3 linked regions of the Sus scrofa genome follow. The protein of the gene in region 2 interacts with the protein of the main gene of each other region in a pairwise test. Links are inferred from orthologs where the notes say so. Each region holds a gene or a part of one and is shown on either strand. Other genes may lie near its edges. The genes, in order: DCDC2B, FHL3 and TTLL10.

The links.
Region 1: the proteins of FHL3 (region 2) and DCDC2B interact in binary tests that used the Homo sapiens proteins (3 or more experiments, as listed by UniProt). The two-hybrid records come from large-scale screens. The link is inferred for Sus scrofa from reciprocal best matches to the Homo sapiens genes FHL3 and DCDC2B.
Region 3: the proteins of FHL3 (region 2) and TTLL10 interact in binary tests that used the Homo sapiens proteins (3 or more experiments, as listed by UniProt). The two-hybrid records come from large-scale screens. The link is inferred for Sus scrofa from reciprocal best matches to the Homo sapiens genes FHL3 and TTLL10.

What each region holds. Positions count from the first base shown.
Region 1 is NC_010448.4:88,684,566-88,688,309, reverse strand, and holds the start of DCDC2B (doublecortin domain-containing protein 2B), read right to left. Parts: upstream 2,453-3,744; 5' UTR 2,016-2,452; coding exon 1,750-2,015; intron 141-1,749; coding exon 89-140; intron 1-88. Other genes in the region: IQCC (IQ domain-containing protein C), read right to left, coding at 2,811-3,650.
Region 2 is NC_010448.4:93,985,799-93,989,542, forward strand, and holds the start of FHL3 (four and a half LIM domains protein 3), read right to left. Parts: upstream 2,771-3,744; 5' UTR 2,730-2,770; coding exon 2,718-2,729; intron 2,068-2,717; exon of another isoform or gene 1,914-2,067; intron 1-1,913. UniProt on the Homo sapiens protein: Recruited by SOX15 to FOXK1 promoters where it acts as a transcriptional coactivator of FOXK1.
Region 3 is NC_010448.4:63,493,414-63,497,157, reverse strand, and holds the start of TTLL10 (inactive polyglycylase TTLL10), read right to left. Parts: upstream 2,400-3,744; 5' UTR 1,987-2,399; coding exon 1,823-1,986; intron 1,723-1,822; coding exon 1,657-1,722; intron 1-1,656. UniProt on the Homo sapiens protein: Inactive polyglycylase.

The sequences.
Region 1 (3,744 bases), about 5.3 Mb from region 2:
CAGGCCCCCTGACTTCCCAGACCAAACTGGGGGCAATCCCTGGAGGGGCGGGAGGACTGGGCAGGGGACAGCCTGCCCCAGGACTCACTGGTAGTCTGCTGCTCGTCCCACCTGGATCCTTCCTCCCGGGGGATAAATAGCTGAAAGGACAGACAGATCACAGGTCATCTCGGAGAGCCTGGGATCGCAACAACCAAGCAGCTACCAGAGTGCAGGGCTGGGGTCCAGCTTACCAGGTCTCCCTTCCAAGTAGAATAGTCTCAGTCAGCAATCCAGAAACAGATGCTGACACTTGTTTTATTTATTTATTTATTTGTCTTTTTAGGGCTGCACCTGTGGCATATGGAGGTTTCCAGGCTAGGGGTCAAATCGGAGCTACAGCAATGGGCCTACGCCACAGCCACAGCCCAGATCCGAGCCGTGTCTGCGATCTATGCCACATCTCATGGCAATGCCAGATCCTTAACTCACTGGGCAAGGCCAGGGATTAAACCCGCAACCTCATGGTTCCTAGTTGGATTTGTTTCCGCTGAGTCAGACGGGAACTCCAGATGCTGACATTTGAACCTGCCTTAGGCCCTGTATCAGGCTGAACATCCAGACTGGGATCTTAGACAACAAACCACAACATTAAAGGCTGAGATCCTACTGTCTCAAATTTCCACATTCATGAGGTGTAGGTGGTTTTATCTCATTTTATGTGAGACTGAGAGTAACTTCAGTGACTCACCTAAGTGACACAGAAATGACAGAGCCCAGATTCTAAGTCTGTCTAGCTCCCAACTCCATGCTCCTTCCATTACAGTGAGCAATGTCAGCTGAAAGCCGAGGAAGACCCTGGAAGCCAGATCTGAGTTGGAAGCTCAGTTGTTCAGATTGTTCTCCCATCTTGGAAAGCACAGACCCACCCTGTAAAGGGTGATCCCAGCCTAAATGGAGAGTAGTTGGTGTCTAAATGCAGCAAGGAGGAAGTGCTGGATGGATTAGAGTATTTGGTGGTGCTGGTGATGGGGGCAGAGGATCCAGTTAAGAAGAGCCTTTGGAAAAAGGGGCTCAACCAGTGGGAGTGTTCCTCTTCCCACCGGCATGAACATCAGTGTCACTCTGACTTGAACCATGGGTCCACTTTTGTTACTTGTATACTCTCAGGCAGGTTATTTCACTATCTTGATTTCCCCTTGCAAAGAACGGGGATAAGACCACCCCTTCATGGGGTTGCCATACTCCACAAGACAGTTGTTTTTTGTTTTCTTTTTAATTAATTAATTAATTTCGTCTTTTTGCCTTTTCTAGGGCTACTCCCGCAGCATAGGGAGATTCCCAGGTTAGGGGTCTAATTGGAGCTGTAGCCGCCAGCCTACACCACAGCCACAGCAACGAGGGATCCGAGTTGTGTCTGCAACCTACACCACAGCTCACTGCAACGCCAGATCCTCAACCCACTGAGCAAGGCCAGGGATCGAACCCTCAACCTCATGGTTCCTAGTCGGATTCGTTAACCATTGCCACAGCAACGAGGGATCCGAGTTGTGTCTGCAACCTACACCACAGCTCACTGCAACGCCAGATCCTCAACCCACTGAGCAAGGCCAGGGATCGAACCCTCAATCTCATGGTTCCTAGTCGGATTCGTTAACCATTGCGCCACGACGGGAACTCCCAAGGCACACAATTACGTACTGAATACACGCTGTTGCTATTGCTGTTACCTCCCTCCCCAGCCTCTTTGACCACTCCCAGCCCACTCACGAGAGTTTGCGGAATTGTTCAAAACCAGCAGCCACATAATGCCCTCCGTTCTGCAGGTCTGCCAGGTTGGTGACAGGGTGGCCATGAAAAGGCGTGTAGAGAGCCCGCACAGCTAGTGGGGCCTGCACAGCTGTTGTCACCTCACAGAAGAGGCTCTCCAGGGTGGGGAAGCGGCGTTGAGTCACCACTAGCTGGTGGCCTGGGGAGAAGGGGTCCCTGTTCCGGTACACCACTACCCTCTTGGCTGCTGACCTGCCACCAGCCATAGTGTGTCTCCTTGGCTAGAGACGCCGAGCTGTTGCCAGGCAACTAAGGCAGGGCTGGGAGCAGCGCTCATCAGAGGTGGAGTCCTGCCCTCTCACCCAGAAAGGCAGGGAGAGCCTCCACAGGAGCGTGTGTCTGCAGTCAGGGTCTCATGCATTCAGCTCTTGGCAGGGCCTCACAAGAGTTGGACAGATGTGATGACTGTATACGAAGGAAGAGCCAGGGGCGCAGTGAGAGAGGCAGTGGCAGAGATCACACTGAAACACCCATGTCCCATACTGGGAGGTGGGAAGGATTCTCAGAGCCTCCCTGCCACTCTGTAGCCCGGAGGGCTAAGCTTAAAGGAAGATTAGCTTTGGAGGCTGTTCCCCAAAGATAGCTAGTCTACTTCTGGGCTGTGGCTCCCAGCCAGCTCTGGGGAAGATGCCTCATGTCAGCAGGAAGCAAACAAGAGGGCCCAGAGTCTCTTAACCAGAGGCAGAAATGAATGCAACCAGGCTCAGAAGCTAAGGAAAACCTTTATTCTCCATCAGGCCTGCCAACTTCACTCACCCCAGGTACCTCCCTGTCCCCAAATTTGGATTGAGCCACAGGCTGAGGATAAGAGCATCCTCCTCCTTCCATTCCCCCCGCGGGTGCCAGCCCTGTGCTCTAGCTTCTCTTTGCCTCATTACCTCCCAATGGCCAGGGGCAGGAGGCAGAGCTGGTACCAGGGAGTTAGGATGAGGTCCTGTCTCCCTCGTTGCCCTTTTACAGCATCCCCCTTTGGAACCTGGTCCTCCCTGGTTCTGTAGGGTCTATCCTGGTGGTCCTGTTTTCCACGGCCTGCCCCTCCAGTGGTCCTCTGCTGTGTGGTCTGACCCTGTGGAAGACAGTTTCTCAGGTGGCCTTGATTTCCACGGTACAGTCTTCTGGGTTTTCCACCCTTCATGACTAGATTCATTGGAGGTCCTATCTCTGGAGCTTTTATCACTGGAGGTCTGGCTCTTGGGTGGTTTATTCTTCCAGAGATCCAGGCCACCATGCTCTGCCAAAGACCCATCCCAGATGACGTGGTCCTCTGAGAGGCCCAACTCTCGTGGTCTAGTTTTTTGGCCATCAGGCTTTTTTTGGTCTGGCCCTCTGGGAGACTTGCCTTCAATGTATGGGTCCTCGCAGAGTGTGGGCAGCTGTGTCCTGGCTTTTCCAGAACAGTAGCCCCTAGGTTTGAGGCCTTTGGGGGTCTGGTTCTCTAGAAGTTCTGTTAGTTGCAGGCAGGTCCCTCCAAAGATCTGTTCCCCAGCGTCTGGCTCTTTGTTGAACCTCTTCCCTACGGCCTGGTTATCTGATAGTATGGGCAGCTGTGGTCCCGTCCGCCTATAGCCTGAGTCCCTGTACTTGGCCCCAGCAGTGGTTCTGTCTGTAGTGGCCAGTCTTTCTGGGGATCTGTGGGGCTGTGATTTGAGTCTCCAGCAGGAGTCATCCACATGGTCTGGCTCTCCAGTGGGCCTGGCTCTAGAGGACTGATCTTCCAGTGGTGGGACTGGTTGTGACTCTCCTTTCTCACAGCCCTGACCCCCATGGTCTGGGCACATGCAGGGCTTGTCTCTGGTCTGGTTCACCTCTGAAGAGTTCAGTGTTTGTTTGAGAATCAGGTACTGTTGAGGAGGAGAACAGACACTGTATCAGGCAGGCCTGCTTGGGTCTGGCAAGAGGCTTTTCCCCAACCCCACCCTTGGCCCTAAATGTGCA
Region 2 (3,744 bases):
GAACAAGGAGGGAAAGCCTTAGTTCTCCGTTAAAGAGACCCAGGCGTGGTGCTCACTAAGACCAGTGGGGGCAGGTCTGACACCAGTGAGCGTAACTCTGAAATCTCCAACACAGGTACAGAAGAGTAGACACTAGCGTGCTGTTTGGCTTCTCACAAAGTGCAATGCCGCCCACCCACCACCAATCAGATCTCCCAAACGGCAGGCGGGATAGGACATCATCCCCGTTTTACAGCTGAGCACGGCGGCCAGGGACAGGGCAGAGACATGCCCAAAGTCACTCTGGTATGAGATCCTAGGTCCCCTGCCTCTCAGCCTGAAGTCCGTTTCTCTTTCCCTAGAAATGTTGCAGTGGCTGAGGGGGTGGTCAGCATTTAAGAGCAGGGGGACAGGAGATGCTAGGTGATATCACTGGGACAGGAGCCTGGCTCTTCTCCCCAGTTGCCAGCCCTGTGACTGGAAGACACCCAGAAGCCTTTCCAAGTACCCATGCCAACCGCTCAACCCCCTTTGCCCTTCCCCCCCACAATGTCTAGGAGGACCCTGGCCAGGTCCCACAGCTGTGACTCAGAATCAGCACAGACCCTCCCCCAGCTTACAGGAGCTCACAAGAGACTTGAGGGGAGAAACCAAACTCTTCCCTCCCCCCCCAACTAGGCATCAACCCCAAACTCTCCGGGCTCTCTCCCCTCCCCCCATGAGGGCTGGGAGTCAGAGCGGTTTGGGGGAAGGCGGGGTGGGAAGCAGGATCCAGCAGCTGCTCTGGGGACAGAAAGGAACAGTTCATTCACCCCGGGTCCCCCTGGACTGAAGCAGTGCGCCCAAGATTTGAGTTTAAAAATAAGTTGGAGCTGATTGGGGGACTGCATGGGGCTCCTTCTTGCTGTGTCTTACTGTCTCAGATCCTCATGGGGGATTGACTGGTCTAGAGTTTCTGTCTCCCCACATCCTCACTTCCCAGTCTTTTGGGCCTGAGTCCCGTGGGTCTGTCTTGGAAGCTGTCACTGTGCCTCCATGACATCTGTCTCTTGATGTCTAGCTCTGCTCCACTCAGCACGTCTGTGTCTGCACACTTTGGCAGCTGTCTTTATGTTTCCATGTCTCTGTATCTCTACTGGCCATCTCCCAACGACAGCCTCGGTGGATTTCTCCCTCCGTCCACCCAAGCCTTGGCATCTCAATGTCTCTAAAAGGTGGAATGTCTTGGTCCTCCCCCACCGTCCTTCTCTATCTCTTAGCATCTCTATGCCTGAGTGTCTCCGACTCTAGACTCTGGATCTTTCTAGGCCTCTCCAAGGCTGCTTTACCACGAGGCTAATGAAGCTTAAGCTTTGGAGCCCCTCACTTGCCCAGAACCTTCCAAGGCTCTGGGAAAGGCCGACAACACCTCTGGGGTCATTACATGCTTTTCCTTAAAATGCTCCGCTCCACAAAACCTCGGAGGGGTCCCTACGCCTCGGGTCTGCCTCCCGGTGACTCTACGCCCAAGTCTCTGTCCCTGTTTCGGGAATCTCTGCAGCCTCCTCTCCAAGCTTGTCACTCCTTATGCTGTCTCGGTTTCTGGCTCCACCAGGCTTTTTGGAAGCCGGTTTCTCGAACCCTCCCGGTAGCTCTCGACGCTGGTTTTCCATTTCAAACTTGGCCCCCTTCCCCCGCCCAACTCGCGTAGCAGCGCCCGCCCCGCCAGGAGGCCCGGGGCGGTGCGGTCCCCGTGGCGCCCCTCAGGGCTCGGCGCCCCCGCGCCACCGGCTCCCAGAGCGTCCCTGGCGCCCGCGGCCGGACCCCGGCGGAGGCAAAGGGCAAGAGGCGGGGGCCATGGCTGCTCTGAACCCCCGGTGGGTCGCCTCTACCTTCCCGCCCGAGGGCGAGGGCCGGGAGCCGGGATGGGGAGCGGGGCTCGGCGCGGAGCTCACCTCGAAGCGGGCGGCGGGAGCGAGGCGCGGCGCTCGAGCAGGGAGGGCCGGGCAGCCGGGGCCGCGTCCCTCGGCGGCTCCTACCTGCGGGCCAGGCCGAGCGGGGCCGAGCGAGCTACCGGCTAGGCTGCCGGCTGCACACGGACTGTGTGGGCGAGTGGGAGCGCGGCCCCAACCCCTCCTCGAGGAAGTGAGCGCTGGGGCCCGCCCCGCCCGGACCCCGCCCCCGGCCGCCCCTGCCCGCGGGGTGCGGACCCCGCCCCCGGCCCCAGGTCCCCGTGGCTAGGGGCTGGGGAGGGGGGCAGACCCCGCCCCCACCTCCCTTTTAGATCGGAGCCAGCCCCAGCCCCCTCGGCCTTCCAGGCCTAACCTGGCTCTCGCAACCTTCCCGAGCGGCCAGGACCCCGCCCCTGTCCCCTCCCTGCAGCTTTTGCTGTCCTCCCTCCTTGCTCGCCCCCTCTCCCGGCCCCCCCCCACCCCCAGCGGTTAGCTGTGTTCAATCTCGGGCAAAGGATACAGGAGGCAGCCGACCAAGGTCCATTTGGGGACCTCATGCCCTCTTCGTGTCCTCGCCCCCTCCCAGTTTACCCCCAGGGATCACACTGCCCGAAGGTGTACTAGAGGACTCATTCCAGCCTGGGGGTGGGGCTGGGGGCTTGGCCCTGCTGTCACAGCTCTGTAAGTGGGAACCTAGGTGTTCCGCGGAAACCAGGAGTGAAGCAAGGACCCCCTCCAGAGGGCCTTGACCTTCAAAGGGCTTTATTCTCCCACCCTGAGCGTGAAAACGAGTAACCACCTCCTCACCTCCTGCTGCATGGTGGAACAGAGAAATCCTCCCTTGGTTTTCACTGTGTCCAGGAATAGTTTTGACCTTTGAGGCCCAGGGGATACCCTAATCCTTCCCCCCCCCCCCCGTGGTTTTTGAGCTTCTCAGGAAGGAGTGTGAGGAGTGTGCATGGACAGGGCGCTGCAGGGGTGGTGGAGAGAAGTTCTTCTCCCCGACCTCTGCAGTTTCTAACCTTCTGGCTTCCTCCCTGGGTCCTGCCCTGCGGGGAGGGAGGACTGGCGCCTGCCAGGGACACAAGGCCCCTCCAGGTCCTTGAGGCCAACCCCCCTGGGATCCTCAGGCTTGTCACTAGGAATAAATAGCCATGGTCTGGAAGGGTTGGGGAGGGAGGAGGAGGCTCTGCTGGGCTGTTTGCAAAACAAGAGACAACAAACCAACCCTGGAAATAACCTCAGGGTCTAGAGTAGAGGTTCAGGTGCCCAGAGAGGCTCTCCCATCCCCCAGGCTGGGTCCAAACAAGCTCCCTGGGCAGAGACTCATTCCTTCCCAGGCTGGGGCTCCTGAGTACCCTCCTCTCCAACCTCTGAATCCCATGCCTGCCTGAGGGCCCCAAGACACCCTGGAGGCCAGGTTTCCTTTCAAAATTAACTAACTGCTTGTTAATTATCATTGTTCCTCATGCCTAAACTGTAAGGGCCATGAGGGCAGGGACCAGGTCCTTCTGATTCTGGCACTTAATAAATATCTGATGAATGAATGAGTGACAAACACTGCTTCCATGTCATTGGACCCTTAGGTGCCCGGATTGGACTGCAGGCATATGCTTCTGGAGTCCGGGGAGGAAGCAGCCAGTGCCTGTGTTGACCCTTGCTCTGGAACTTATCTTGCAGGTGTAGGAGACTCCCAGCCCTGGGGAGTGCAGGGAAGACTGCCTGGTTGGATGAGGGCAAGAAAGGGTTTACTGGGAGTTCCCAGTTGTGGCACAGTGGAAACAAATCCGACTAGTATCCATGAGGATGTGGGTTTGATTCCTGGCCTCCCTCA
Region 3 (3,744 bases), about 30 Mb from region 2:
GTCACCCCAGAGGTGCTGCCCAAGACTTTCATCTCCACTTAGGACAGAAGAGGCTAAACCAGGAACAGCTGTCTCTATGGCTGCGGGGGCTGAGCAGGCGCTGGGAGGGTCTCACACCCCTGCCGAGTGTGGCCGAGCTGTGCGGATGACCCGGAGCCCCCTCCCCAGCCCCACCCCCCAGAACAGGAGGGCTTCTCTGTGGGGGCTGGACTGGGCCAGCTTGGCTGGGGGGCAGGTCTGAGCCTGCAGGGAGGGTGCGTGTGTGCGCGTGCGCCCCTGCGCGTGACTCCGCACGCTGCCTGGGAGACCCACCCGCTGCCGGCACATGGGACCCCCACGTGAATGCCGGTCAGCGCCATCCCCCAGCACTCTTTACGTGAGTGGCCACTGCATCCACAGGCATCTGAGGGAGGCCCCCAGGTGTGAACCAGAGGTGGACACACACACACAGACACAGCCGCACACAGCCAGGCTCAGAGGAAGAGAGGGGACGAGGCTCGGGAAACAGCCCTGGGGACATGCCAGGCGGGACCAGCTTCCACCGCCAGGGGGCGGGACGGTTAGAACCAAGGGACAGAGACTGGGGCAGAGCTCTGGAAACTCAGGATACGGGAGAAGTGTCAGAAGTTCATGGCAAGGGAATGGGCTGGAAAGGAGAATTCCAGAAGGAAGTGGGTGACTGTTGAGTCTGGGGACCCAGCCGGAGACATCTCAGCGCAGGAGGCAAGGCTCCCGCCGCCAGCCAGCCGGGTGTGACCAGCCAGCGGGGTGTGATGCCTCCAGACCTCCCTCAGGGGATTCCTGAGGCAGGCTCTCTCCAGAGGGGTGGGCCCAGGGAAGGGAGCTGGGACTGTGGCATGGGTCAGCTCTGTGCTCATGTCCCCACTGCGGGGTTGGCTGGGGGGGTCACAGCATTCTGGTGAGGTTGCTGTGAAGACAGTTCCTGCATGGGACGTGTGCAGACGCCTGCCTGGTCACGCCTATTCAAGGAGGGCCCAGGTGGTAATGAGGATGAGAGGGCCAGCCAGTGCCAAGCAAGGCGGCCAGCCTGGAGGCAGCGTTCTTTGTGTTGTGCTGTGAATGTGGGTGGTGTGGGTGCCCCCCACACTGATGGGTAACTTCTGTGGTGTCAGCCAGATGCTGCAGTGGGCACGCCCCAGAAACGGGAGCCTGGAGATGGGCACGGGGCGTTGGCTTTCAACACAAGCCTTATGAGCCTGTGCCTCTATTTGACGTGTCTTAACTCCAGTTGTTTGATTGCTTTCAAAGAGTATTAAACAGGTCGTGAATTGCCATTTCTTGTTATTCAAATCAGCAACGATTAAGAAAAGGAAAAGACCCGGGGACACACACGGGCGGGGGCACCGGGCCGGGGCTGCAGGGTGTGGCCGGCGGGGCCACAGCACGGGGAGCAGGGCAGGCGGGCGCAGGGCTCAGAGCGACGTTCTGAGAGGCTCTGCTGAGCAGTGGCATTTCTCAGACTCTCGGAGGGACCAGTTCTAAATATGGTAACAAATCTTCACGCGGAATGACGTTCACAGGGTGTTATGTATGGTGGCAAAATGTGGGCATGTCCCCAGACGTGCTGCAGAAGAGCGGGGGGGGGGGGGTTCAGTGGAAACAACTTTCTAATGAATTTGTAAGTAAACTTTTTACCTGGTCAGGTAAAAAGACCGGCAGGAAAGGGCGCCCCTGTGTGATGAGCAGAAGACGCTCGCGAACCTGCAGGAACCATCCAAGGGGTGGAGGTGACGTCCGAGTCCCGCCAGGAGCCTTCTCTGAAACACGCGTTTGGCCACACGGGCCGCTAGGAGGTGCTGACCTTGCTGGATGGTCTGGTGTCTCCCAGCCTGGGGCGAGCTGCCTGGGGGCACGTGGCTCCCCGTGGACTTTAGGAGGCCGTTCTTCTGGGAGTTGGCTCTGGGAAACAGACCTGGTCCTGAGCAAAGGAGCTGGGCCTGAGGGGCTGCCATCCCCGGGAAGCATGACCTTCTCAGCCCAGCCTGGGGGTCTCTGTCCCTCACGCCACGGCCCTGGGGGTGCGGGCCCTCCACAGGGGGGCCTCTGCCCAGTCAGGTGGCCCCTCCCCTCCCCTCCCCTCCCCTCCCACGCCTCCTTTATGCTCCTGGGCAGAGTCCTGAGAGGACCCGCAGGGCTCCTGGGGGCCTGGGGAACCCGGTGGGGGGCACTGGATGGCAGGCCCCAGCCTTCGTGCTGGGTCTGGACCCCTGCCGGTGGCCCACCTGTCTCACTTACCTGCCCGACCAGGTGGTGTGAGCCCTCTGCCCGGGAAACAACAGTGGTGACCAGGCAACCGTCTCCCAGCAACCACAGCCCCAGGAGAGCAGGTGGATTGGGAGGGGCAGGAGGCTAGCGCCGCAGGGGCGGGCGGGGGTGGAGTGGGGAGCGACTGAGGCTGGAGAAGGGGTCCGCCTGGGCCCTCCATCCTCCCAGAGCATTCCTGAGCCTTCTCAAAACCCCCAGAGCCGGGCCCAGACCCCGACTTGACCCCATAACATTTCCTGCTCACTGGGCTTTTCCTGCTCTGTTTCTCCCCTCGTCACAGCCCCAGTGTGTGGAGTTGGCATGTCACGGTCCAGGAGGCGGGGACTTGGTGAAACCGCGCCCCCCAAGGGGTGGAGGGGGCTCCCCTCCAGGGCCCTGCCCAGCGCCCCCTCCACCCTCCAAGCCTTGCAGTCACCAGAGTCTCTTCTCAGGGTGCTTCTTGTGGGGTGGACGCGGTCCCCGTGTGTGTCCTCGTCCTGAGCCCCGAACCTGCGGCCGCAGCCTCACTGGGAAGAAGGGCCTTGCCGATGGGCTTTGGCTGATGCGCCCTCCATCCAGTGACCAGTGTCCTCACGAGAGGGAGGCGGACAGAGAGGGGACAGGCTGACCGAAGATGGGGGGCGGGGGGAGTAGGCTGGAGGGAGGCGGCCACACCCGGGAGGCCCTGAGCCCTGGCTTCAGAAGAGGCGGGCAGGACCCTCCCTGGAGCCTGGGGTGGGAGTGCGGCGCTGATGCCTGGCTCCTGGCCGGGGACTCTGAGGGAACACACGGCGTTTGTGTAACTCTCTGTGGCCACCCCAGGACGTGAATCCACCCCTTTACCGCTCCGAACTTTGAGGGTCCCGTGCAGCAACCCCCACTAGGGGGAGGCCATCCTGACCCTGGTCAGAGCCTGACGCAGCCCCGGCCACCTGCCTGCCTGTGTGGTCATGCCAGTCTGTGGCTGAGACGCTTTGCCCTGGGGGTAGGGGCTGCTCCTCTAGCCAAGTCCTTGATGAGGGCTGTCCTGATCTTAGGAGCTGACCTGGCGGGGGGCAGTGGGGCCCTGGTCACCCGCAGGCCACTTGCTCTCCCTCAGCCTGAGCCCGAACCCTGCACTGTCCCCCTTGGGAGCCCACGCCCCCTCCCACATCACTTTTCGAGACCCAGGCCCCTCGGAGGCTCCCAGCTGGGCTGGCCCACCCCCTGCTCCTCTGTGACTACCCCCCACCGCTGGGAGGGGTGCTGCCCAAGTGGCAATATCATGACATCTAGGCTCAAACTCAAAAACTGCCTCATAACCCAAAAAACTGGTGTGGGTGCCAGCCCAGTGGCCTTTCCCACGATGGCCTGGGGCTGGGTGCTCAGTTGCCTCCACAGCCTGGAGCAAGGCAGCCAATCATTAACCCGCCAGAGCTGCAGGGCGCACGCGTCTCCCCAGGGCAGCTGGGTGGCCAGGCTGTCTCTGGGCTTAGATGT